7 linked regions of the Canis lupus familiaris genome follow. The protein of the gene in region 3 interacts with the protein of the main gene of each other region in a pairwise test. Links are inferred from orthologs where the notes say so. Each region holds a gene or a part of one and is shown on either strand. Other genes may lie near its edges. The genes, in order: L3MBTL2, C14H1orf35, STAC3, PPARA, ZCCHC10, FAM133A and MAB21L3.

What was found.
Region 1: the proteins of STAC3 (region 3) and L3MBTL2 interact in binary tests that used the Homo sapiens proteins (3 or more experiments, as listed by UniProt). The two-hybrid records come from large-scale screens. The link is inferred for Canis lupus familiaris from reciprocal best matches to the Homo sapiens genes STAC3 and L3MBTL2.
Region 2: the proteins of STAC3 (region 3) and C14H1orf35 interact in binary tests that used the Homo sapiens proteins (3 or more experiments, as listed by UniProt). The two-hybrid records come from large-scale screens. The link is inferred for Canis lupus familiaris from reciprocal best matches to the Homo sapiens genes STAC3 and C1orf35.
Region 4: the proteins of STAC3 (region 3) and PPARA interact in a two-hybrid assay, tested with the Homo sapiens proteins (2 studies listed by BioGRID). The two-hybrid records come from large-scale screens. The link is inferred for Canis lupus familiaris from reciprocal best matches to the Homo sapiens genes STAC3 and PPARA.
Region 5: the proteins of STAC3 (region 3) and ZCCHC10 interact in binary tests that used the Homo sapiens proteins (3 or more experiments, as listed by UniProt). The two-hybrid records come from large-scale screens. The link is inferred for Canis lupus familiaris from reciprocal best matches to the Homo sapiens genes STAC3 and ZCCHC10.
Region 6: the proteins of STAC3 (region 3) and FAM133A interact in binary tests that used the Homo sapiens proteins (3 or more experiments, as listed by UniProt). The two-hybrid records come from large-scale screens. The link is inferred for Canis lupus familiaris from reciprocal best matches to the Homo sapiens genes STAC3 and FAM133A.
Region 7: the proteins of STAC3 (region 3) and MAB21L3 interact in binary tests that used the Homo sapiens proteins (3 or more experiments, as listed by UniProt). The two-hybrid records come from large-scale screens. The link is inferred for Canis lupus familiaris from reciprocal best matches to the Homo sapiens genes STAC3 and MAB21L3.

The regions. Positions count from the first base shown.
Region 1 is NC_049231.1:24,975,246-24,979,300, forward strand, and holds the start of L3MBTL2 (lethal(3)malignant brain tumor-like protein 2), read right to left. Parts: upstream 2,801-4,055; 5' UTR 2,670-2,800; coding exon 2,646-2,669; intron 837-2,645; coding exon 593-836; intron 1-592. UniProt on the Homo sapiens protein: Putative Polycomb group (PcG) protein. PcG proteins maintain the transcriptionally repressive state of genes, probably via a modification of chromatin, rendering it heritably changed in its expressibility.
Region 2 is NC_049235.1:508,279-512,279, forward strand, and holds C14H1orf35 (multiple myeloma tumor-associated protein 2), read left to right. Parts: upstream 1-1,223; 5' UTR 1,224-1,317; coding exon 1,318-1,411; intron 1,412-1,655; coding exon 1,656-1,806; intron 1,807-1,921; coding exon 1,922-1,967; intron 1,968-2,041; coding exon 2,042-2,124; intron 2,125-2,229; coding exon of another isoform or gene 2,230-2,302; intron 2,303-2,413; coding exon 2,414-2,502; intron 2,503-2,749; coding exon 2,750-2,884; intron 2,885-2,970; coding exon 2,971-3,251; 3' UTR 3,252-3,501; downstream 3,502-4,001.
Region 3 is NC_049231.1:1,728,874-1,732,808, reverse strand, and holds the start of STAC3 (SH3 and cysteine-rich domain-containing protein 3), read left to right. Parts: upstream 1-1,135; 5' UTR 1,136-1,316; intron 1,317-1,942; exon of another isoform or gene 1,943-2,017; 5' UTR 2,018-2,018; coding exon 2,019-2,084; intron 2,085-2,357; coding exon 2,358-2,622; intron 2,623-3,537; coding exon 3,538-3,635; intron 3,636-3,850; coding exon 3,851-3,923; intron 3,924-3,935. Other genes in the region: R3HDM2 (R3H domain-containing protein 2), read left to right, coding at 114-236. UniProt on the Homo sapiens protein: Required for normal excitation-contraction coupling in skeletal muscle and for normal muscle contraction in response to membrane depolarization. Required for normal Ca(2+) release from the sarcplasmic reticulum, which ultimately leads to muscle contraction.
Region 4 is NC_049231.1:20,888,656-20,892,143, forward strand, and holds the end of PPARA (peroxisome proliferator-activated receptor alpha), read right to left. Parts: coding exon 3,251-3,488; intron 1,113-3,250; coding exon 865-1,112; 3' UTR 501-864; downstream 1-500. UniProt on the Homo sapiens protein: Ligand-activated transcription factor. Key regulator of lipid metabolism. Activated by the endogenous ligand 1-palmitoyl-2-oleoyl-sn-glycerol-3-phosphocholine (16:0/18:1-GPC). Activated by oleylethanolamide, a naturally occurring lipid that regulates satiety.
Region 5 is NC_049232.1:21,261,205-21,264,704, forward strand, and holds part of ZCCHC10 (zinc finger CCHC domain-containing protein 10), read right to left. Parts: intron 2,373-3,500; coding exon 2,298-2,372; intron 1,653-2,297; coding exon 1,385-1,652; 3' UTR 1-1,384.
Region 6 is NC_049260.1:69,566,840-69,570,339, reverse strand, and holds part of FAM133A (protein FAM133A), read right to left. Parts: intron 408-3,500; 5' UTR 308-407; coding exon 1-307.
Region 7 is NC_049238.1:54,109,715-54,113,668, reverse strand, and holds the start of MAB21L3 (protein mab-21-like 3), read right to left. Parts: upstream 2,801-3,954; 5' UTR 2,013-2,800; exon of another isoform or gene 1,473-2,012; 5' UTR 1,275-1,472; coding exon 1,227-1,274; intron 1-1,226.

The sequences.
Region 1 (4,055 bases), about 23 Mb from region 3:
CCCCAGGAAGTCACTTGATTCTTTAATTTCCACCCTTCTTTAATTTCCCCCCTCACGTCCAACCCACAAACTATTTCTTGTCCTTTCCCAGATAGTAAATCAGAGCATAGGCTTAAGGGCAGCCCTGGTGGCACAGCGGTTTAGCGCCGCCTGCAGGCCGGGGTGTGATTCTGGAGACCCGGGATCGAGTCCCATGTTGGGCTCCCTGCATGGAGCCTGCTTCTCTCTCTGCCTCTGTCTTTCATGAATAAATAAAAAAGAAAACAAAACAAAAGCCATCCAGGCTTAAAAATCAAGCACCTATTCACACAAATGTAAAAGCAGTACCATATTAATGACTGGCATCTAACGTGTGCCAAATAAGTATTAGTCGTATGAAAGAACAAAGGAAATAGTCATTTGAAATCAGACTGCAGCAAAGGAAATTAGTAGTAGTCCCTTGGGGCTACTTCTGTCTAGTTCATAGGCCCTTAGACTTAAGATCAAACAGCTTTTTTTACACCTGGATGGCTCTGCCCACATGGCCTATATTCCCCTCTTCCTCTATAGCCTCCTGAAACCTCCCCGTCTTCAGGGGACACTCTGAAAGCACCTGGCTCAGAACCACTGCCATCCAAGGAGCGGGGAGTCCCAGGACTGAGCAAATGCAGCGGGGAGGTGGGCAGCTCCCCTGCTTCCCGATCTTCATTTTCTGCTTCACTTGACTCCTCTAGATAGGAGCTGCTCTCACTGCCCGCACTGCTGTTATAGCTCCGGAAACTGTCATAGCCACCAAAGAGCTCCAAGTCGTCCTCCTCTTCCTCTTCCTCTTCCATAGGTTCTGAAGATGGAGTCTCCTAGTGGAAGGATGACACAAACCAGGCTGGAGGAATCAGGTCTAGCTTAGTGTATGGGGAAGAAGGATGCAGGTCAGCTACCAGCATCTTTTCCAGGTCTTGGTCAACACCTTTGGACCAAGTGGCAGGCAGAATCAAATATCCCTTTTGCAAACACCAGGATCATTACTCCTGTTTATATAGTTCTTAACTGAAACTCATCAGGATAGTTTAACAAAACAGGTAATATCAGGAATTCACCAAGCTCCTCCTGTGTATTTATAAATGATGATGTTTTAACTTGATTCAAATAGAATACGATGATGTGAAAATACTCTGTTATCTCATGAAGACTTTCTGGGGGAAGATGTATGTTAGAAAATCAACTTCCCCCCTTCAGCATATGTACATCAACACAGTGTCAATTCGGAAACCATTTCAGCCACAGAAAAGTCAATTTGGGACGCGGATCCTACCCTGAGGAGGATCTAGGAGACAGAGGACACACTAGTTATCGCACAGTGTATGTATGTACCATAGCTCTGGACTCTGCTCCAATCCTAACTAGCTGTGGGTCTTTGGGCAAGTCATTTAACTCCTCTGGGCCTCAACTTTTTGATCTGTGAAATAAGTAGCTCACAGGATGTGAAATGTAAATGAGATACTGTCTATCAATCCACCTGGAAGGAATGTAGTAGAAAAGGTCCTAGGCCAGGGCTCAAATACCATCTCTACCGCTGACCAGCTGTATGATCTGCAGCAAGTCAGTCTCTTGGTGCATCAGTTCCCACCTCTGTAAATGAGGAAACTACCTCCTTCAGAAGCTTTGCGGGAGAAATAAGAGTGAATATAAGTGTTGTACTCAAAACAGTGCCTTGCAAGTATTCAAGACATACTGGCAATTATTTCTGGGTAAAAGCATGGGGCTTTTCAACCAGATTTGCCTGAATCCTGGCTCTACCACTCAATTGTGATTTTGTGCAACATACTGAGCCTGTTTCTTCAGTTTCTTCATCAGTACAAGAGAGGTAACAGCAGGCCTTCTTCAGATAACTCGAATGAAGACTGAGATGTGTAAAGCCTAGTTGTTTCTAGCCATTAGGGAGGGCTGTAAACGCGTGAGTGCTTATTCTCCTTTACCCTTTACAGTTTGGGGGCTATTCCATTTTCAGGTTTACAACTACGTCCCCAAATGTGCTAAAGAAGAGACCGAATTTAAATACAAGGTGACCAGAAGCCAAGTGACCCAGGGGTGAGTGGGTTACAGGTTGCAGGAGAGTGGGAAAGGCTGGGGAGCCTGAACGACTGGGTGCCCATCTCCTTCCCGCTGCGGTTGGGTGGCCCTCCTGGGGGGCACCATCTGGCTGTAAGCGTCGGCTACTCCAACCATAACAACGAAACAGTGACACAGGATTGTTGTGAGTATCCCGGGCGATAATGCCCGTGAACGCTCCAGACACGCAGTGGCAGGAAACTTGAATCTCCCTCACGTCCCACCAGGATGTCACAGGCCTCCTGATCCCCAAAGAAACGACCAGAGAGAGGGAGGACAAAGAAGATCCAGGAGCTCCCAGATCCTGAACCCAGTTCCCGTTCCCGCAGGCCAGGGAGGCTGTTCCGCCCCGACCTACTCGCGGGACGTCGGCCCCAGCGGTGTGGGCGCAAAAGGCAACGCCAATCGCCTCTGGCCCTGCTCAGCCTAACTACCTCAGTTTATCCATCCTTCCACTCTCCACCCTCCAGGCGTCGCCCCAAGGCCTCGAGAACGGCCCCCCGTGCGAGGCTCAAGGGCTTCCCTTTCCCGGTCACGATAAATCCTCCCCCTCTCACCTCGACGCCCCGCGTCTTCTCCATGAGACCTAACACCCGTTTCTTCAACCGTCACCAGGTGCAGGAAGCCATATTGGCCTCGCGGCTCTTCCTGAGCGCAGTCATTGGCCGCCTCCCAGAGCCGCGGGCCAATCACGTTGCAGGAAAAAGGAAAAGCCGGTTCCGCGCTCGCCCGCGCCCCAGCCCCGGGGGGGGCGGGGAAGCCGCGGGTACTTGTGGGACTTGTAGTTCCCCTGTGGGTGCGCGTGGAAGGGTGCGTTGCTATAGCGATGTGAAAATCCCTGCGGCACTGCGGCAGACCTCGTTTCTCTGCGCTAACCTCCACCTCTCAGCCCTACTCCGTTCTTTAGCAAACAATTCTTGAGCACGTACGATAGGTGCTGTTCTAGGCACCAGGAATGACAGATTAGAAGAATTTTAAGGTGCCCTTGGGCCAGGACGACTTGCAAAGAAACGCATTTCCAATTCCGGCAGAAAGCGGATTGCTCTTATGCCCAGTGCTATAAATGCCTCACATGCTCCAAATCCTGTAACATTGTCCCTCCATCATCATCCCCTGAATAAAACCTCGAGTATGAGGCACTCTGCCTCCCTCATTTTGGATGTCTCACAACCTCCTTGAACACTCAGTTCTAGGTGCTCTGGTGGAGCTTTTTACACAACAGCTCAAATCTGGAGACAGCCCATCACCCTATTAAAGATGAATCTGTGGCTCTTTGGAATTGGGATTTAAGGTTGGAATTGGAACCTAAGAATTGGAATTTAAGGTTTAGTCCAGGTTCTTTCCCTGTGCTATGCGGTGCTCTAATGAATTAGGAATCTAAATGTAAAAAAAAAAAAAAAAAAAAAAAAAAAAGAATCTAAATGTAGGGGCGCCTGACTGGCGCAGTCAGAGGATCTTGAGGCACTTGATCTTAGGATCATTGGTTGGAGCTCCACTGAGTGTAGAGATTTTTAAAAAATAAACTGAAAAAAAATAGACAAAAGAAAAAAAAAGAATCTAAATGTAATAAATGGAGGCTGAATATATGTTAAAAATATTTCTAAATTTGAGGTCCACCACATAGATGTGAAAGTCTTTGATTTTTCTTTTCTTTAACTCCTTCTGCCACCAACCCCATATTCATGCTATCAACCAGTATTGTTGGTTCTACAGCCAAAATGTATCCTGAATTCCTCCTCCACTATCACCCTCATGGAAGCCACCAGTCCAGCACAATAGGCCTCAAACAGGTCCCTGTTTGACTTTTCACTTTCTTTAATACAGGTGATCTTTTAAATCATAAGCCAGATCATGTTCATCCCCTTGCTTAAAACCTCCATTAGCTTCCCCCTGCACTTTCAAAAAAATTCAAACATTCCATAAGCCCCTGAATGACCTGGCCCCAGTTTTCTCTTCAACCAGCTGCT
Region 2 (4,001 bases), on a different chromosome or scaffold from region 3:
AACCTGTGGTCGGCTGCCATTCTTCTGCTCCAGTGGTGGGTTTCAGCCTGGCCAGGCTTCTGCAAGACCAAAAGGCCAAGTCCCAACATTTCCACTTGTCGCTGGCCTGGCCCAGGCCTGCCTCTTGCCCTGGCCTGGGCTGTCAGGACTCTTGGAAACCTGAGTGAGTGCCCACCGTAGGGCACTGATACAAAAGGTGGGGAAGGTGCCCACGTTCTATGGGAGGGGGCTGTGTCTGGGCTCCTGGCGAAGGGTGCTGCATTAAGCACCCACCTTTGGACTCCTAAGTCCCTGGTGGTCCACTGAGTTTCCTGGCCACGCGCAGGGTCCTGGGAACATCCAACGGCATTGTCTGCCCTTCCCTTGAAGTGGGGTCACAGCAACGATGCAGGGGTCAACAGCAGAGCAGAGGGTGAGCGGGGCAGGGACAAGTGGGACTTGTAGCCACAAGGCAGGGTGGGTGCTGGTGACGGAAATCACTAAGAGGGCCCCCCCCCGCCCCAGGCAGGGGGTTCTGGCAGAAACCACCTACTGAGATTGCTGCTGGTGGGCCTGGCAAGACCTCCACTAACGCACGGGCACCTGCTTAGCTTCTGAAGGGGGCCGGAGGTGGCAGGCTCTTCACCACAGCGGGTGACACGGTGAAGTGGACGGAAGGCCCAGGCCCGTCTGCAGCGCTCTGGTCAGTGGAGGTCCCATCTGCACCAGGTGTTCCTGTGTGTGGGCCCCCGACCCCCGCTCCGCAGGACCTCGCCGCCGCCCACGTGGGGGGCTTCACACACTGTCCATGCCGCTGCTCCCCCGTGTCCAGGGCTCGGAGCTGATCCTGCTTTGCCCAGCACAGCCGCCCCCCGCGGCGCCAGAGGAGCCCGTGCATTGGCGCACCTGCGCCGTCCCGCCTGCCCTCCACGCTGGGGTCTCCAGGGGACGGCCCCGGGAGTTGCAGGCCGTGTCCCGCTTCTCCGGAGCCGAGCCGCCCCCGGTGCCCGCTCCCGGCACTGCGGCCCCACCCGCTCGCCCATCTCCCGGCACAGCCCCAGGACCGTCGCCCGCACAATGTGGCTCCCAACGCCGGCAGGATCCTCGGGACCCGCCTTGGCGCCTACGCCCGCTCCCTTCCCGGGCGGTGCGCCTAGCGCTGGGGGCAGGCGGGGCGGCGGGGCCGGGGAGCAATGCGCAGGCGCTTGCGGCGCTGCCCGGGTATGCGCGAGTGTGACGTCAAGGCGCGCGACGCGGCGGCGGGACCCCGGCGCCGGCGCCGCCCGGGGCGGCCAGGCCAGGGTTGACGGAGGCAGGGGCGGCGGGCGGCCTGGCACCATGTTCGGCTCCAGCCGGGGCGGCGTGCGTGGCGGGCAGGACCAGTTCAGCTGGGAGGACGTGAAGACCGACAAACAGAGAGAGAACTACCTGGGTCAGTGCGGCGCCGGGCCCGGGGGCGGGGGGGGCGGGGGCGGGGGGGCGGGGGAGGACGCCCGAGCTGCCGTGCGCGGTGCCGCAGGTGCGGGAAAGCGGGGTTGCGAGGTTCTCGGTGTGGGCAGCCGGGGGCGCGGGGGCGGGGAAGGAGAGGGCGCGAGGTGCGGGAAAGGGGGGCTGCGGGCGTGGGAAGGCGGGGAGCGGCGACCAGCGGGCCGAGCAGTCGCGCTGCGTCCCCGCAGGCAACTCGCTGATGGCCCCCGTGGGCCGCTGGCAGAAGGGCCGAGACCTCACTTGGTACGCCAAGGGCCGGGCGGACGGCGCGGGACTGAGCCGGGAGGAGGAGCTGGCGGCCGTGCGGCAGGCGGAGCAGGAGGCACTCATGGCGGCGCTGTGAGTGGGCCCCGCGGGGTCGGGGGAGCTCGGGGGGCCCGGGGGCGAGGCGGGGTCCGAGGGGCAAGGCCAGGGACTCCGGCCGCCGCCTGAAGCTCGCCCGCGGCCCCCACAGAGGCTACAAGAACGTGAGGAAGCAGCCCACTGGCCTGAGCAAGGAGGTGAGCGGCGCACGGGGGGCGGGGCGCCCGGAGTCTGTGCGAACCCCCGCCTGAGACCCGCTGGCTCCGCACAGGACTTTGTGGAGGTCTGCAAGCGAGAAGGAGGGGAGCATGAGGAGAAGGGAGTGGACCGGCTGCTGGGCCTAGGGAGCTCCAGGTGCGTGGCTGGGGGGTGGAAGGGGCCCTCCCCAGGTGGACGCACCGCCCCGCCGAGGGAGGCCTGGGCCTTCTCACCGTGGGGTCCTCGCCTGCCTTCCCGCAGCGGCTCTGCAGGCCGAGTGGCACTGTCCCGGGAAGACAAGGAGGCCGCCAAGCTGGGGCTGTCGGTGTTCACGGTAAACCCCCCTCTGCGGGCGGGGCACCCCAGAATCGGGCGGGCGCCGAAACTGGGACGCCCCCCCACAGCCCCCTAGAGTGCCTTCCTTCCTTGCTCCTTCCCTCCCCAGCACCACCGCGTGGAGAGCAGCCGCCCAGGGGCCTCCCCCACCTCTGCTAGGAAGAAGCCTCGGTTTGAGGAGGAGAAGGTGCAGCCTGGGTAAGGGCTGCTCCCACCCCTTGGTCCCAGGCCCACCTGCTGGGCTCCCCCAAGGGGGAGGCAAGGTGCACTCCCACCCCTGCTTTTCCTCCCTGGATGGGGAAGCAGGGCGCCTTCCTACCTCTGCTGCTCCTGGCAGTTTCCTGCCACAACGGGAAGGAAGGACCGCTGTACCCACTGGCCACAGGGAGGGGGGGGTGTGTCTGTGTGGACAGTGCACAGGGGACGCCACCCCACGTCCCTGCAGCCTGGAGAGCCACAGGAAGAGCAGGAAAGAGAAGAAGAAGAAGAAGAAGAGGAAGAAGAAGCACAAGAAAGAGAAGAAGAAAGACAAGGCACACAGGAGCAGGGTGGCTTCTCCACTGTCTCCAGCTCCTGCAAGGTAGGTGTGCTCAGCCTTGCCGGGGCAGAGGGAAGGTCTGGGGAGCAGGGCAGCCTCCCCCTGACCACATGTCCCCATATCCCCAGGCCGGGGCACCACCAGTGCGGCTCTGACTCTGAAGATTCCTTGCCCTGCTCCAAGAGGCGACGCAGCCACCACAGTGACTGAGGCCAGATCACAAGGGGCCCCCATGTCCAGCAGGGGACCTGCCCCGGGAGGACACACTTGCCTGGGAAGGCCCCGAGACACTTCTATTTTTCTTCAACTCACTTTGTACTTAAATAAACTTATTTTAAGGGGAAAGCCTCTCATCCTTGAGGGAAGGTGGCTGTCATGTCCCAGTAAAGTTCCAGCAAGACCAGCCTGAGACCCTGCTGGTAGGGCGGGGAGGGGGGGGGGGGGCGGGCTCTCCCTGGGTTACCATGTCCAACCCCAGGGCACAGACGTGCACCTGGAGCCAGCAGTGTGCCCCACCCCTGGGAGGTGAGCACCTAGTCATTAAACCCTCCTATTACAGCCTGCCTGCAGGGAGGATGAAACCCAGGGTGCACTCATGATTGTGAAACTGGCATCTTTGGCTTTAAGTCATCAAACTAAAAACGATTCTGTCTTCATAACCCTGGCCCTGGTGTTTCAACCTGGTAGTGGTATAAACAATCTTGGGCGGGGGCCAGACTGGGCGCCCCCAGCCAGGAGAAGGAACCAGACCAGCATGCCCAGTCAGGTGGGAGGGATGGTCTCCAGCCAAAGAGCCACTAGGAGCCCTGCCAGGGGTTTCCTACCCCTCAGGAGCAGGCTGGCTAGCAGGGATGGGCGTGGACAAGAGCAGGCCTCGGGCACACCCAGTGTGGTGACCCTGCTGTCCCTCCACGTCCCAGTCCCACAGAATAGACCAGGGGCTGCACTAACAGTCAGCGGGTGGACGATGAGAGGGCGCTGGGTCATATGCACACCTAACACAGGGAGCAGTGAGCCACACCATGTAGGTCCCTAGCCAGTGACATCCTCTGTGCACAGTGGTAAGTGTGGGTCAGTGGCACCCAAGCACTGGAAAGCCATGAAATAGTTAAGAGATTTTATTCTAGTAGCTATAATTACAGTGCTTGTTTGTCGAAAT
Region 3 (3,935 bases):
TGACAAAGCACATTACCCTGGAAATCTCTTGGGTGTGGGTAGCAGTATCTCTAGCCAGGCTCCTCTGAGGCTTGTCTGACCCAGCCTCCAACATAATCCTTTACTTCTTACAGATACAAGGGATAAAGCAGCACTACATGACCACATCCAAATGGCTGTCCTCCGAGATGGGAGTATCTTCTCTTTCAGCCATGTCACAGCCCAGAGTAGGAGAAGGCTGCATCCCTGCGAGATAAGATGCCAGATATCTCATTGACCCATAAGTTCATATACTGGGGCATCAGATGAGGGAGATGGAATCAGGGAATCAAAATGATTTCGAAGTGTGGGGCTCAGCTATCCTATCTCCAAAAGTTTGCAATCCTCATGGGGAAGCAGACGTTACTTACTGAAGATAAAACCCGCCCTGTGTGGTAGCTATGGCCTTCTGTCCAGTCTGAACAAGACCATCTCTACCTACCTGACCATCAGACCCGCAATCCCCCAGAGCCCCTCAGATGGAAGTCCCAGCCTGGATTTTTTCAGTAGTTCTTAGATTTCCCTTCACCCTGAGGACAAGATTTTAGAATGGAGGGAAGATGTTCCTGGGGTACTGGAGGGAATAAAGCAGTACTATGCATGTTCCTCACTACCTTTCAGGACGGAGCAGGGTACCCCTCCCACCACTATTGGATAAGGATGCAGTCTAGTCTGGCTGATAGGAAACCTCTGAGAATTCAAATTCTTTCCTTCCTAAAGGTTTGAAGCTAGATGAGTGCTTGAGGGTGTAAAAACACATGGCCACAAGAAGCCAATGGCTGAAAAATCAAAAGCTAGTTTCTAAAGTAGGTCCAGGGAAGGTAGAATTGGAGATGTATTTGGACCTTGGGGAAAACTGTTTACAATTTCATCTTTATCTTCAGTCATCCAAAATCACCTAAATGAAGTATGCAACATGAACAGACACTGTCCCTTCTTAAATTTAGCCAAAACTGACCTGTACACCATAGATAAAAAAAACCAGGGCATAGCAGCTCTGGGGGATGGGAGGAGTTAGGGTCCAGCCCAGCCCAGGCCTCCCCGTGTCCAATTTCTCTGTGTCAGCTGTGTCGCTCAGCTGTCCACTTTCCTCCAGCCCTGTCATTTCAGCTGTGACACCAAGGCGAGAGACTAGGAGGTCTACAAATAACGTCTGGGTAGCCGGTGTGAGTACAGAGGGTACTGGGGGGGCTTAGCCCCCAAGGAAGAGGACCAGTCCTCCCCCAGCACCACCATCAAGACCCCAGGGGCTCCCTCTTCCCTCCACAGACTGTGGGCTGACTTAGGGAATCCCAAACGTAAGTTGCCTCTTCGTCCTCTGTCCATTGCCAGAACTGCTCCCTGCAGCTTCCCCAATCTGTAGCCTATTCAATGTCTTCGTTTCTCTCTTGCTTGTGAGTAGTTGGGGTTTTAGGAGTGAAATTATTATTCCAGGACAAGAGCTAGGATTGGAGGGTGGGGTGGAGGTGGGGTCAAGGGAATGGAGTAGTAAGGGAAAGAAAGGCTCATATTACTCTGAAAACTTAAAATAGCTGAGGACAGGCAGGCTGGGAACTAGGCCCTGGGCCCCCGGGACTCAAGAAAGGGGTATGGGTGAACAGATGTTCCCAGCCCATCCCTCCAAGCATGCTTCTGGACACATTAAACCTCTTGAAGAAAAGGGATCTGGGAAGGTGTGTGTCACATCCCTCTTGCCCACAAATTCCCAGGAGAAACCAGGAAAATCTCTAAGCCATGCAGCTTTGAACAGTGTTGGGGCTGTCAACTTGGGTTGCCCCTCAGTGGGGAAGGATGGATATCAGGAGCTGGTTGGGAAGTTCTTTAGTCGGCTGTGCTTTTCCCTGGACCTCCATGGAATCTGTCGATAAGCCTATGTAAAAGGATTTCTGTTTAAGCAAATTTCTCCTAAAATCTCCCTTTCAAGAACCACCCTACAGTGAAGGACAGGAAGAACAGCAGTCAGGGATTAGATTTCATAGTGGGGTCCAACCTCTTGCAGGATGACAGAAAAGGAGGTGCTGGAGTCCTCTAAGCCCTCCTTCCCAGCAGAGACTCGGCAAAGTGGGGTGAGTCTGGGCCTGTGACCACTGGGTATGGGGAGCTGGGAAGCCACTGCGGCCCTTCAAGAATGCTTGAATTAATCTCACTTGTATGTGACTGATCCGTTGTCAGAATGCTAGCCAGCACCTGCATCCCCCAATACCTCCTAATCCTGGGGTGTGCCCCTTGCCCACACTGGAAAAATGTGTAGTTAGTAGTCAGCCTTACCTGCTCTGGAGAGCATGACAGATCTTTTAACTTTGGGTTTCCTCCCTTCCCCCATCCCCTTCCACCCTCAGCTACAGCGGCTGAAGCAGTTATTCAGGAAGGAGTCTCCCGGGACAAAGGAGATGGAGCTTCCCCCAGAGCCCCAGGCCAATGGGGAGGCAGTGGGAGCTGGGGGTGGGCCCATCTACTACATCTATGAGGAAGAGGAGGAGGAAGAAGAGGAGGAAGAGCCACCCCCAGAACCTCCTAAGCTTGTCAATGATAAGCCTCACAAATTCAAAGATCATTTCTTCAAGAAGCCCAAGTTCTGTGATGTCTGTGCCCGGATGATTGTGCGTGAGTCACGAAGGGAAGTAGAGAGAGTGTAATGTTGAAGGCAGGAGGTGGGGGAATGGGCTCAGGAGAGGCGCATTTGTATAGCAGGCAGACTGGAGCAAGAGGCAGCTTTAAGAAAACGCTAGCAGAGGGGCACCCGGGTGGCTCAGGGGTGGCTTAGCCATGGCTCAGCCGGCTAAGCTAAGCGTCCAACTCTTGATTTCAGCTCCGATCATGATCTCAGGTCTTGAGGGGGAGAGTCCCTCTCCCTCTGCTCCTCCCTCTCTTGCGTGCGCGCTCTCTCTCTGTCAAATAAAAAAGTAATCTTTAAAAAATCAACACCAGGGATCCCTGGGTGGCGCAGCGGTTTAGCGCCTGCCTTTGGCCCAGGGCGCGATCCTGGAGACCCGGGATCGAATCCCACGTCGGGCTCCCGGTGCATGGAGCCTGCTTCTCCCTCTGCCTATGTCTCTGCCTCTCTCTCTCTCTCTCTGTGACTATCATAAATAAATAAAAAAAAATTAAAAAAAAAAATAAAAAATCAACACCAAAAAAATAAAATAAAAATAAAAATAAAAAATCAACACCATTAGAAAGAGAGTGTGGGACCCCCTGGGTGGCTTAGCAGTTGAGCATCTGTCTGCCTTTGGCTCAGGCATGATCCTGGAGTCTCCAGATTGAGTCCCACAGGGGGCTTACTACATGGAGCCTGCTTTTCCCTCTCCCTCCCCCTCTCCCTCTGTCTCTGTCTCTGCCTCTCTCTCTCTCTCTCTCTCTCTCTGTCTCTCATGAATAAATAAATATTTAAAAAGAAACAAAAAAACCCGAGAATGTGGTCCTAGACCAAAAAGGGACCTGAGAGCTAGAGTAGCAGCACTGGTACAAAAAGGAAGGGGCAATGGAGAACTTGACCCAAATGTTCTTGCTTTTCCCAAGTCAACAACAAATTTGGGCTTCGCTGTAAGAACTGCAAAACTAACATCCACGAGCACTGTCAGTCCTATGTGGAGATGCAGAGATGCTTCGGCAAGATCGTGAGTAGGCTCTGGGGAGCGAGAAGGAAGGGAGGGGACGTGTTGCCAGCTCCCCCCTTGCAGTCCCTCCGTCCCTCCCAAGTCGTCATATCCATTTCCCTGCTTTTTCTTTCTCAGCCCATCTCTTACCCCAAGAAGGGGTTTACTCATGGGAGAGATGGGGTTCTGGGCCATAGCTTGCTGTCTCTAATGCTTTCTCCCATCCCACCCTACAGCCCCCTGGTTTCCACCGGGCCTATAGCTCCCCACTCTACAGCAACCAGCAGTACGCTTGTGTCAAAGATCTCTGTAAGTGCTCCA
Region 4 (3,488 bases), about 19 Mb from region 3:
GAGAGCTGACACAGTCTCCGTTTGTCTTGCTCCTGCTGACCACGGGACCACAGACACCAGCTGGAGAAAACAAGCAGAGCGTCAAGTCCGGGGGGGGGGGGGGGGGGAGTCTTGAGACTCAGTTTTCTGGGATCTTCTAGACAAACCTAGAAACAGGCCCTCCTGCCTATTAAGTCACAACCCCCAACACAGTGAAAACCGACCGACTGTTGCATTTGGATAGCTTATCAAATAATCCTTGGAAATTTCAAATCCTCTGATTAAGAAACAGCATGTTAAAAAAAAAAAAAAAAGAAACAGCATGTTGTCTTTCTTCAAATTCAGGAAACAGAATTAAAGTCTCCCCAATAAATATTTTGCTGCTTTTAAAAAATAACCTAACCTTTGGATTCATCTAGATTTACAGGATTATAAAAGTTAAAAAGTGCTGATTAGTTTCCAAAACGATACAAAGGAGCGCAAGAGTCAACAGGTGGCAGAAAGAGAAGACAGACCACGTATTTCAAGGTCACCAGTTAATTCAAGGCTACACGGCTAATGTGATATAAAGAAATCTGCATGGATTAACATCAAGTGAGTTAAAATCAGACTGCTGGGCATCATTCCCCTTAATTTTCCAAGAACTGCCTATCAGCTACCTGTCACCGGCGTTTCGACACTTGGCACGCTCTTACAAGTACTGATGTGAAAAAGAAAGAAATGTGGTCTAGGTTTCCGGTTACCTAGGGCTCATCCGTCCCATTCTCTAAGGTGAAAATGGTGGAATTTGTGCAAAGCAGGCATTGCTCCCAGTTTTCATTTGTAGTGCTGTCGACTTTAAAAGTCCTCGAAGAGCTGCTTGTCGTGCGGTTCGCTCTCAAGCCGTCAGTACATGTCCCTGTAGATTTCCTGCAGCAGGGGGTGCAGGGCTGCGTCCGACTCCGTCTTTTTGATGACCTGCACCAGCTGTGCGTGCTCGGTGACCAGCTGCCGGAGGTCTGCCATTTTTTGAAGGAGTTTTGGGAAGAGAAAGATGTTGTCCGGGTGGTTGGTCTGCAGGTGAAGTTTGAGCACATGCACAATGCCCTCCTGCATTTTTTCAATGTGTCCCACGTTTAGAAGGCCGGGGCGATCTATTCTCAAAAGAAATAAGAGACGGTTGTGATAAACCTCCCACGGACACCTCCTAACTGTTTATGGGTTCGGGAGACCAAACATTCTTACTCTTACACTGCCTTCCAATAACGTTGACTCGGCGGGAAGACAGACCTCGATTCTTCCAAAGTCACTGGGCCTAATGCGCAGACAGGACAAATACTCGATCCTAAGTATTTTTGTACTCCCTTAAGTCGACCAGCTATCCTACACCATGGCCCTTTCATTTTGGATTTCCTTGATGACCACCAATTAGGGGAAAAAACCCAAAACATAGGAGTAATCAGACATTCTGATGACGATTAAAACAACCAGTTTTGTATAATATGAAATGAAATACATCTTGAATCAAAACTAGATATTCAGTTTTAAGTTCTCCACCACTGTTTTAAGGATTGCGTTAGACTGGGTTTTGTGGTAAAAAGCACTCGTTAGGGGAACAGATGCTAGGAATCTTCCAATATGAATCTGCTGCATAGACAGTGGAGTGAGATGTGAGTGGTAGATGCTACCTCGATGGGGTGCTGACGAGCCCCAGGAATGCCTGAGATCCGGTGCAGGCAGTTCAACGTGTACACCACACGCCCTCCCTGGGGCAGCTCAACCGCAGGCACCAGACCTCCTGGGACAGAGGAATGCACACGTCCTGGGCACACGGGTCTTTGGTCTAGAGTATTCCCTGTCCCCACTGCCATCCAATAGGCAGTGCTCTCTTTAAGGCCCCACTCCTTACTAGGGTTGTTAAAAGTGCTGCTAAGGATGTGGACTTTTTCATTGCTTTTTCTGGGGTTGTAAAATGAATATAATTACTAACTTTTTAAAAGGAGAGATTAAAAAAACAAAGTGAATTCCCCTCGTAAGGTTTAAGGTATACCACACCAGACACTTTTCTGTACATAGGATTGATATATGATTTTTTTTTTTGAGAGAGAGAGAAATGGAGAACATGTGCGGTGAGACTCCCCACTCAGTGCAGGGCCCAATGTGGGGCTGGATCTCACGACCTTGAGATCATGACCTGAGCTGAAATCAAGAGTCACATGCTTAACTGACTGAGCTGACCGGGCGCCCCGGGATTGATAAGCGATTATAACTTCTTTTAGAAAACTCTGCTCGTACTACCTATAAATGGTTGTGCGCTTGCTTTTTACTCACAGCACTACATCTCGAGCATACAAAGGACAATGTAGATTATGTACAACTGTTTTTGCATTTTACATTTTTTGCCAGAGCAGAAGGACTCCCTCCACCTGACTGGGGGCAGCTGAACAGTAACAGGAACAGGCCTTGTGGGGCTTCCAGCGTCTGGGCGTCTGTGGCCAGCCTCAGCCCTGCAAGTCAGCAAACCGTGCAGGACAGTACAGCTTCTGGCAGTTTGCGGCAGTGGTCGGTGGTCACCCCCCTTGGCCTCCCTGGGGGCTGGGTGAGGTCAGCTGAGTTTACGGTATAGGGATGACCTTCTTATACCAGGACAGGGTTATTTAAAGGAACATGACACTGAGCCAAAATTCTGGGAGCTGCAGAGCCAGCTTCCTTGCAGAGAGGCCCAGATTTTCCTTCACTGGGATCCATTTCCTTTGGCAAAGCAAACTGCAAACACTGCCAGTGAGCTACTGATATTTTTCATTATGAAATGGAATAAATATACCAATGGTGAAATAAACTGCACTAACATCTGTACGGCCCTTTATAGAATACTGCCTATAATACGGATATAACACTATAATAATAGAATTATATAACAGTAACATGATACACTGTACATTGTAACATAATTCTTTCTAATATATATTAAATATATTAGATAAAACTATATTACCATTACACCTAATATATTATGTTTGATATGATTATATTATGATTACAAATAGAATATTACATATACAACATAATTATGAATGGGACATATTCATTTACTGCACAACTATGTGTTTATATATAATAATGTATGCTGTTATGTGATATGATAGGATATAAATCTCACTGAATTCCAATCGGCGGCGATGTAGGGGCATAGACGCCCTCCCATCTGCCAGCGCATGCTCCACTGTGCATGATGCACGTGTGCACCAAGAGGCTGCAGGTGACACGGCGCTGGGTTACGTCAACGACTTACCTCCACAGCAAATGATAGCAGCCACAAAAAGGGAGATGTCGCTGTCATCTAGCTCCAGTGCATTGAACTTCATCGCAAAATCAAACTTTGGTTCCATGATATCACAGAACGGTTTCCTTAGGCTCTTTAGGAACTCACGAGTTATAAAGCCATTTCCATAGGCTACCAGCATCCCGTCTTTATTCATCACAGAAGACAGCATCGCAAATATGGCCTCATACACTCCATATTTCAGTAG
Region 5 (3,500 bases), on a different chromosome or scaffold from region 3:
AAAATATAAAAAAGACAACATTCATAGTTTTAAAAACCCATATTTAGCCCGAATCAAGATTTTTCTACAAATGATAACTCTTTCCAAAGAGCTTAAAAGACATCACAGAATGATGTCATGCGAAACAAAATAATTTCACCACAGCAGAGTATTTTAAGAAACATTGTGCAATATTTCTTTTTAATCTTTCATGCTACACTTCAACTGTGTATATGCTATGTAAACACACCAGATTAGTCCAAGTCATTCATATTTATGCAGTAGAATGTCATATATGACCAGCTGCCATATAAACTTATACCACAATTGCAAAAATGGTAAAAGGCAATCCTTATGAAAGCTTAGAAAAACTTAATAAAAGGCAACCAACATTGCCCTAATTCTCTGTTAAAATTACCTTTGTACCTATTTTTTCCTCTCCTACCTTTTATAGCATAACAACACAAAGATACTTGTATCACTTTTCCTTAAGTTAGGCTTTTAAATGACTCTTTTCTAATACACAGAATTTATCAAAAGGCACCAAGATTAGACTCCTAAGTAGTTTCAGAATTTTGGTTCCTTTTTAGGTTCTTCTGATTGATTTTCCTCAGAAAAAGAGTAACTTTACAGGATACCTGGGTGGCTCATTCAGTTAAGCATTTGACTCTTGATCTCAGCTCAAGTCTTGATCACAGGGTTGTGAGTTCGAGCCCAGCACGAACTTAAAAAAAAAAAAAAAAAAAAAAAAAGAGTAACTCTAAGAGCCAGAAGAAAATGGATGATATAACACAATAACTTGACATTTGTACCATCCAAAAGGTATAAATATAATAACAGGTTCCTTGAGCTTTTCATTTAGGACAAGAAGTCAGAATAACTTTCTGAACATAAACATAAAAATAGGGCACAATTTTTAAGAGGAACACTTCTAATTTTATAGTAACAATGTATTAAATCTTATATAATAACACACAGCCAAAAGCATTAGAAATTCACTGCCAAAAAAAAAAAAAAAAAGAAATTCACTGCCAGATATTCTGATGCATTATCCTGAAAATATGTCTGGTACATAGCACTAACATATAACAAAGGATGGCAATTATCTCACAGGGAGAAAAGATAAGTCTCATCCCCAAAACAGATTTACTGGATTCAGCTTTGATTAAGTTTTAGAGATATATATTAAAAATAAAAAAGAAAAACAAGATTTACTCTTAAAATAAAAAAAGTCTTATATATAATCCATTAATACTCTTTATGCTCTTCTGATGTAAAACATTTAGAAATTTTTGAACTCCAGTAATTTTGACTGGTTACCCTATATGGCCTTAATGTAGTCTAAATACCCCTTTCGAAAGTCACATTAATTTTTTGAGTCCAGCAGTACAAGAGAGATGGCGTTCTATTTCTTTTTCTTCTTCTTTGGTGGTTCATCCTCAGAGCTGCTCTCTGTGCTGGTGCTGCTGCTACTGGAAGAGCTGGAATCTGAGTCTGAATCAGAGGACGAGGAAGAGCTTGTGGAGGAGGATGAAGATGAGGAACTGGAGGAGCTTTCATCAGTGTCGCTGTCCTCTGAGGAGGATGAGGTAGACGTTTCTTCACTCTCTGATGAAGAATCACTGGCTGAACTGTCGCTGCTACTGCTGCTGGAACTGGTTACACTCTTAGACCTAGTAGACAGTGAGGAGTTACACGCACAGGAAGCTGACACCTAACAGATTGTTGGAGAGCAATTTCATGGGGAAGCGATTACATACACTGAAGCTCTGCTAGCATGGAATCACTAGACCCGAAGCGCTGGGGATTGCATAACTGTAGAAATCCCGTGGCAACCACAATGTCCTTTACTTTGGCACTTTAACTATCTTGGACAGAATTCAAGATAAGTACTCCTACTGTACTATGATCCAGGAAGAATAATGTTAGAATAAAGTTGCAGTGGAACAACTGGGCTTTCTTAAACCTCAGGTAGCATGGTGTTTCAACATCTTTACTTTGAATCAGATATAGCTGGTCAACAATTTCTTACCAGTCTAATAATATTTCCTATTCTAATATAGGAGATTTTTAAGAGAAATTATTTACTATTTCCAGGGAGAAAGCCTCTGGAAAGCTGGAGAAAAAAAAGTGAAGGCAGAAAGGTCCAGTTGGGTAAAGAGAGGAACAGATCATGAAATAAGGATGATACTTAATCAGGAATGACAAACAAGAGACTTCAGATCCAAACTTTATCACAATTATTTTTAAAGCATTCTTCCCATTCCTCTCACTAGTATTATTTATTATCCACATAATACTCCTAAAGCCACACATACCTTTTTTTCTTGGTCTTCCTTTCTACATTAGTTTCTCCGATGCTGATAAACATGAAGGGAGAGAGGGGGAAGCTCCTGTTAATAAAGTGATTATACACAGTTCATATAAACCCTTCAGCTATCCCCCAAACTGTCTTTCACTGGAGAAACACTCTGTCTTTTGTGGCATGTACGGAGCCCAGTAATTCTTGTTATAACCTGCCTCTCCCTCTCCCTCTGCCCCTCTCTTACTCCCTTTCTAAAAAATAAAATTCTGAATTGAGTTGCCATTACTAATATTACTATGTAATTGATTAAAATAATATAGGAATACATTACACATTTTAATAATTATCACACATCAAAGTAAATTTATTTGAAATGCATCGATTGTTTTTCTAGCTCATGTATCTCTGGATCTTACTGCTAGATTGTGACAATGTTCAGCATTAATTCAATTCCTGTATTTAACATTTATAGATTTAACCCTAAGAAACCTTCTTACCCTAAATAGATAGATGGAAATAGAGTATTGTTGTAGTGATGTCACTGTTTGAATATCTCCGATGATGTGGTCCACAAGTCACAAAGATGAATCATTAAAAAATAGTTTTATTGGGGATCCCTGGGTGGCTCAGAGGTTTAGCGCCTACCTTCGGGCCCAGGGCATGATCCTGGAGTCCCGGGATCGACTCCCACATCAGGTTCCCTGCATGGAGCCTGCTTCTCCATCTGCCTATGTCTCTGCTTTTCTTTCTGGGTCTCTCATGATAAAGTAAATAAATAATATCTTAAAAAAATACTTTTATTTATTATTTATTATTGGGGGGGAGGGTGAGAGGGAGAGGGAGAGAGAGAATCTTAAGCAGGCCCTATACCTTTTATGGAGCCCAATGCAGGGCTTGATCTCATGATCTTGAGATCATGACCTGAGCCAAAATCAAGAGCTGGATGCTTAATTGACTGAGCCACCCAGTCACCCCTAAAAAATACTTTTAAATTGGTAGCTCAATTAGGTCTTTCTTCAATTTTGCTGGGAAAAAAATTACAAAAGAATTTATTCCCAATAATTAGAGCTATCTACTTTCTTAGTACAAACACCAGTATTTCAAAAATGTCTAAATTTTTATACATGAAGAAAAGGGAAGTAGAAAAGGAGGATGAGCAGGAAAGTACTAACATAAATTTATTTTTGGAAAAATTATATATGAATGTTGATGACCC
Region 6 (3,500 bases), on a different chromosome or scaffold from region 3:
GACAAGATTTCTTCTTTTTCTTTTTCTTTTTTCCCCTTTTCTTAGAAGACCTCTCATTTCCACTCAATAATTTCTCTCTGCTTTTTTCTAATTCTTTTTTCCAATTCTCATTCATTTTTTCTTCAAATTCAGCTAATGCCTTGGAGCCTTTCTTTTTATTTTCTAATTGTTTCTTCACTTCTTCCCAGGTAGGCCTTGGCCGATTCAGATAATCTTGTATTGTTGGGCCTGTAGACTGAGTTGGGCCCCTCCATCTGGCCATTGCTATAGGATTCATATAGGCCACTCGATTATCCCGCTTCCCCATTGTGCCTACTGGTTCCAAGAGAAGACTCTCAATGCTAAGAAGAATAAAGATAAACCCTTCTTTGGTTCTTCACCTGCTGATATATCAAGCAGGCCCCATTCTGTTAGGGAAGCAGAAGGAAATGGTTATAAAACACCTTTAATATATATACAGCAAAGACATTGGTTTAATTGTTCACTATCATATAGTACAGTAGAAATTTTTAAAATTTTAGACCTTGGGAACAAAGAATATAGACATTTAAGACTTTTGCATACTTTAGATATTGTGGTATGAATATAACAATGGATTTTATATACCCCATATAAGGTTCTGACTTATCTAAATTTTAAATAAATACTTCCTTTTATATTATATGATATTTTTCTTTCCTTCATTTGGCCTTATACAGTATAAAAAGATAAATTTCTATAGCTAAATTCTATGTGAGGCAGATCTCCTCCAATTTAAAAAAGTCCGCTCTGACAGAAACCTAGGAATCATACCTGAAAAATTCTCTCCCTCAATCTCACATCTAATCCATTAGTATAACTGCTTTTTAAGACTTCACAATAGGTTCCATACACATTCACTTCTCTCCAAATATATTGTCATCAATTTAGTCCAGGTACTATCATCTCTCACTTGGATTATTAATCTCTAGTATTGATTAAATGTTATTATCTGCCAGGGACTGCTTAGTGTTTTGCAGTGGATTATCTTATTCAATCTCTAGACTAATCCTATGAGGTTGATTCTATTATTATTTCTATTTCACAGTTGAATAAACTGGTCTTAGAGAATTTGACTAATTTGCATAAAGTAGCAGTTAATAAATGTCCAAATTAGGATTTAAACCAAAGCAGCCGGACTCCAAGCCCTGAACACCTAACATAACACTCTATTATCTCTTTACATCAGCCTCTTAATTGATAACCTTCTTTTTTAAAATTTTTTTTATTAATAATAAATTTACTTTTTATTGGTGTTCAATTTGCCAACATACAGAATAACACCCAGTGCTCATCCCGTCAAGTGCCCCCTCTCAGTGCCCATCACCGACTCACCCCCACTCCCCGCCCTCCTCCCCTTCCACCACCCCTAGGTCGTTTCCCAGAGTTAGGAGTCTTTATGTTCTGTCTCCCTTTCTGATATTTCCTACCCATTTCTTCTCCCTTCCCTTCTATTCCCTTTCACTATTATTTATATTCCCCAAACGAATGAGAACATATAATGTTTCTCCTTCTCCGATTGACTTATTTCACTTAGCATAATACCCTCCAGTTCCATCCACATTGAAGCAAATGGCGGGTATTTGTCATTTCTAATGATAACCTTGTTTCTACCCTTACTCTCTTTCATTCCAGCCCCACACTACCATCAGTAGGTCTTAAAACACTACAGTGGCCTTATATTTTAATGAAAATCAAATTCAAACTCCTATAAAAGTCCTATAAGATCTGTCCTGCTTCTCTCTCTTACTTTAATCACTCCTTTTCTCAATTCTATGTTCTCATATATTTCCTTGGTTTATGGAATATGAGAAGCTCCAAGCTTAGTCATCATGTCTAGTGCTACCCCATACTTCAGGTCTCAATTTATTTATATATTTATTTTTATTTATATATTTATTATTAGAAAGGGGGGAAGGTCAGAGGAAGAGAGAGAGGGAGAATCTTAAGCAGGCTCCATGCCAGCAGAGTCCAACGTGGGGTTTGAGGTCCCAACACTGAGATCATGACTTAACTAAAATTAAGAGTTGGATACTTAACCAACTGAGCCACCCAGGTGCCCAGGTCTTAGCTTAATGGTCAATTCCTCTGAAAGGAAACTATTAGTTTAGACTACATAAAATTGCCAATTATATGGACAGACACAGTCATATACCAGCAACTTCATATGTATCCACCTTATATTAAAGTATGTTGCCTTTGAATCTACCCTTCATATATATTATTCTGTATCACAGAGCCTTGTGTCTTTTATTCACATCACTTAGAAAACTGGTGATTATTTTATTTGATTGTGTGTGTGTGTGTGTGTGTGTGTGTGTGTGTGTATCCATTACTAATGACAAGGCTGAGAAAAATAAAGGTCATGTTTAATCTGTCTTATTCACCATGGTGTTTCTAGTATCTAGCATGCCCTGCGGCTCATATTAAATAGTCAATAAGTATTGGTTCAGTAGTAACAAACAAATGAATGGATAGATGGGTGTATGGCTCTGAGAGAAAGGAGGATTCAGGGCAGCTTCCTAGAGATGGTGATGTCTGCACAGGATTTTATTTTATTTTTTTTAAATTTTTTATTGGAGTTCAATTTGCCAGCAGATAGCATAATCTCATCCCGCCAAGTGCTCATCCTGTGAAGTGCTGCCCTCAGTGTCCATCACCCAGTCACCAAAACCCCCAACGCACCTGCTCTTCCACTACCCCTTGTTCATTTCAGAGTTAGCTGTCTCTCATGTTTTGTCACCCTCACTGATATTTTCACTCGTTTTCTCTCCTTTCCCTTTATTCCCTTTCACTAACTTTTATATTTCCCAAATGAATGAGACCATATAATGTTTGTCTTTCTCCGACTGACTCACTTCACTCAGCATAATACTCTCCAGTTCCATCCACATCGAAGCAAATGGTGGGTATTTGTTGTTCCTAAAGGCTGAGTAATATTCCATTGTGTGTGTGTGTGTGTGTGTGTGTGTGTATATATATATATATATATATATATATATATACACACACACATCTTCTTTACCCATTCATCTTTCGATGGACACATGGACACCAAGGCTCCTTCCACAGTTTGGCTATTGTGGACATTTTTGCTATAAACATTGGGATGCAGGTGTCCTGGCGTTTCACTGCATCTGTAACTTGGGGTAGGTAAATCCCCAGAAGTGCAATTAGTGGGTCATAGGGCAGTTCTATTTTTAACTCTTTGAGGAACCTCCACAAAGTTTTCCAGCATGGCTGTAACCAACTCACATTCCCACCAACAGTGCAAGAGGGTTCCCCTTCTCCACATCCTCTCCAACATTTGTGGTTTCCTGCCTTGTTAATTTTCCCCATTCTCACTGGTGTGAGGTGGTATATCTCATTGTGGTTTTGATTTGTATTTCCCTGATGGCAAGTGATACGGAGCATTTTCTCATGTGCTTCTGGGCCATGTCTATGTCTTCCTCTGTGCAATTTCTGTTCATGTCTTTTTCCCA
Region 7 (3,954 bases), on a different chromosome or scaffold from region 3:
CACACATGAGAGGGAGAGTGGAAGGGGGTGGATGTCAAACCCAGGAGTGCTGTGGCTCCCAGAGAACCCGTGAGCACACTCTCTGTTGAACAAACAGCCCCAGCCCACAGTTGCCAGGCAAGAAACTGGGACCTGTGGCTGTCAGGTATTCTGATGTTTCCCTTTTTCCAGAAGATGAAACTCTAGATTTCTATGCAAGATCCCACTATTTTGAAATGTTTGTAACAAATTTGAAGCAATTTAAAAATATTCTGCAGGCCAAAGAAAACCTGTGCACAGGCTGGTTCAATGTGTAGAGCACTGTTAAGAATCTCTGCTATTGGAGATGCAGGGAAACATCATGGAAAGATAAAGTATTACTTGGATGCCAGACTGAAAAACGTGGACTTTTTTCTTTCAGAAAACACAAGTCCATGGGGAAAATGCCTGGCAGCCTCCCTTTATTCCTTTAGAATAGCCCCCAAAAGGGAAAATACGGGACGTCACTTTGTTGGCTATAATTTTTATTATTGTAAGTGTCCCCTATTTATCTAAGTGGTTTGCTTAAGAAATCAACTTTATTTATCACTGTGATAATGAACTCTACTTTGTTTACTTGGGAAGGCGTGTCCCTAAAACTTAGACAAATCCCTAACCTTAGTTTTTAGTTTTACAGGTGGCTCTGGGCCTTAATAGCTTCATCAGTAAATGGAAAGCCTTAATTAAGTGAGATCATATTTAAGGGGCCTTCAAGTTGTAACGTTCCAAGAGTCTCTGCCTCTCTACAGAAGAAATTCAGTTAACTGTTAATTGATGTGATAAATATGATATCTATTTTTAAATCGAGCAGTTTTAGAGTTTCTGAAAGGCATTCTTAATCCCATTTACTCTTTTTCTAAGGCCCTATTATCACCCCCATTTTACAGAGAAGAAAGCTGAAGCTCTGGCAGGTTAAGTGCCTTGTTCGTGACAATACCCAGTATCAGGGGCAGAGCCAGAGTTCCAACCCACGTTCTAACTTTCTGTTCCCGTTTAACTTTCTATACCCAACGTGCCTCTGGCACTTAGAACCTTAGAGAGAAGACGAAAATAAGATAAGTCCCTAAATACTCTTATGAGTGATGGTCTTGGGTTCCTGAGGAGCATTTCATGTATCTTTGGAAGCAGCCTGACATCCCTTCTGAATCCAGGCTGGTGGAGTGGGAGGGAGCCAGGTGGGAACGTGGGAGAGCAGTACTTGTCCTTACCTTATTCAGGAGGCATTCTTCCAAGTCTCCTGCAGTTGGGGATTTCATGACTTCTTGGTCAGTCCCCAGTGGAGCAGCAACGTCTTGGTTTGTCCGTCAGTGGAGGACAGTACTTGCAGGTTGGTTTCCCAAGAACGTTAGTCTCGGTGCTAAATTTCTTTGAGGATGTATACATGGACCAGAGACTGGTCTTTCCAATTCTTCCCTCCAGCTCTCATTTCCAAATCGGGAGCATCCAACTGTCATCTTTCAGGAAATTTTTTTTTAAAAAAGGAATTTAAAAAGGAGAGTTGATGGAATTGAAACTGAATTGGAGTCCAACCTAATAGGACTCGATTAAGCTCTATTGTCGGGTGCTTTGACCGAAGGGCAATATTCCAAGTTGTATTTCCCATTCAAATATTTAAAAGCTCCATTTGAGATAGAAACGCTCTGTAGTTGGCTTCTTCTCCACCTTTTTAAGCTCTTGTCTTAATGCTAGATGCATCCTGGAGCCCAGTATCTTATATCTCCTTGTTCTTATCCTGTTGACAGTAAATATTCCTTGCCCTCCAATCCAGAAAATCCCGCAGATTGATTTACCTTCTTTACCATAAACAAATAGGGAACTGCCAAACAACCAGTCAGGCACTCGTCATTCTGCCTGAAAACAAGCAGGTCCAGGTCTCATCAACCAAATCAGGGCACAATAATTTGCATGTGGAAAAGCGCGCACACACACACACACACATGCACACACACACAGGCATATCCAGAAAGGGCAGGACCAGGGACCCTTCTCCTCACCTGCTGAACTTTAAACATAATTTACCTCTTCCTGCTTGAAAGCTGGCAGTAAAAATAAAGTCAGTGTAAACAGGCCCCTTGAGAGTCAAGGAAACACTCTTGTCTGGTTTTGCCAGCAAAACCATGTTGGAAAACAGCTCAGGCAGTAAATTCCCAGTCTGGCTGGCTGGGGCTAGTTTTATTACAGAAAAAAAAAAAAAAAAAAAAAAAAAAAAAATTCACAATGGCCTGATCTCCCTGACGCTGGTAAACATCAGAGACTGCTATCAGATGATCTAAAGAAATTACAGCGCTTCTGGGAGCCCAGCTCACTTCTGGGCAATGCTCTGAGTAAATGCCTTTCCAAACCCACCTCTGAGAGCTCAGCAACGGTGTTGGTTCCCCGGGCCACTCAGCTCTCTGTAACCACAGTATTTGCATATCTCCCCGCTCTGCCCGGACTAAAAGCCTCATCTGAGCCACACCAGAGCTCCCTGCTCCACCCACCTCATTAATCCCAGCGTTCACGCCAGCTTCTATAGGTCCCTTTTGTGCAATATTGTCGTATATTGAAATATTCTATGTAAATATTGTAAAGCTACCCTTCCACAAAACTGCCTTGATTTTCCATTTTCTTCTCTTTGTAATTCAGAGTTTCCTTCATTTGATATCAGATGCTCCCAAACATTTCAGAATCTTCTCTTGACCTAACCACTCGTCAGTTTTTCACAAACAGAACATGAGGCTGCCTCTCTGAATTTCCGACAACTCAGGATTTCCTCTCCACCTTCTTTTCGGCTTCATCAAAGTCCTCCTGGTTTCTCCCATGAGCTCTTGTTTTTGTCTTTACTTCTGCTTCATTACAATCATTAACTTGGGATCCCCTGTCCTCTGGTGGGCCTCTCTTACGGTTCTAATTTTTCCCCAGATGCCTATCAACCAGATGCACAAATTTGCATCGTTCTCTACCTGTGGCTGCCCTACTTGCTCCAGCGTGGCCACAAATCAGAATGTTGAAACTGCATTTCTCTCACTAGGGCTCAGTGATGCTTCCCAGATGTGAACCAGGAGAACAACCAGTAGGCCAACTGTAGAGCCTGGGAGAAGGAAGAAGTCTGTGTTCCAGCCTCATTTTACCTGGACGTCATACCTGGCAAACAAGGGGTTATATAAGCACAACCTGTTCCTTACTCTCTGATAGAGTTTTCCATGGCAAAGCTTCCAATATATAGGGCAGTTCAACAGTGCAGACCCTCTGACAGATTGGCAAAGAGGACCCTTCTTTGTAGATAGAGATCTCTGGCTAAGTGGCTTTTGGATTAGCAAATATTTATTGAGCAACAGTCTGCCTAAGGCACTATGCTGGGCCACAGAGAAAGATTCAAAGTTAACTCAGATTCTCCTCCTTTCTTGGGAAATAAATATCCTCATTTCTCATGACTCATGCCAAATGCAAGTATGAACATGCAAACCAGCTTTGGCTCAATTTCTATTCTGAGGACCAAGGAGTTATTTTTTAAAGTCAGTTTAGCAAGGTATTCAAAACCCTAAACCAACAATAGGAAAGTCCTAGGAAGACAATGTCACTCCTGATTTACCAACAGAAGTGTTTGCTATTGATTTACCTAATGGCTGCAATTTTCATTCCAAGAAGGGTTGGCTTGATCCAAATCAATCTTAAATACACAAATTTGTTACAGTTCACCAAGATTACAAACTCTGATGTATTTTTCAAAAACTTCCTTTAATCCTACGGTGACTCAAAGCTGACAGCTCCGAGGACCAGATAGAGACAATTGTCCATGCTCTGAGGAAGCCCCCAGCAGTGAAGAAGGCGGTGACTCTATCTGTTCTGTATCCCCACTATGGTCCAGTACCTAACACATAATTGACGTTCAATAGTGGTGAAAATTTGATTGCATTATAGATGAAATGATATTCTCAAATATAAGATATTTGGAGA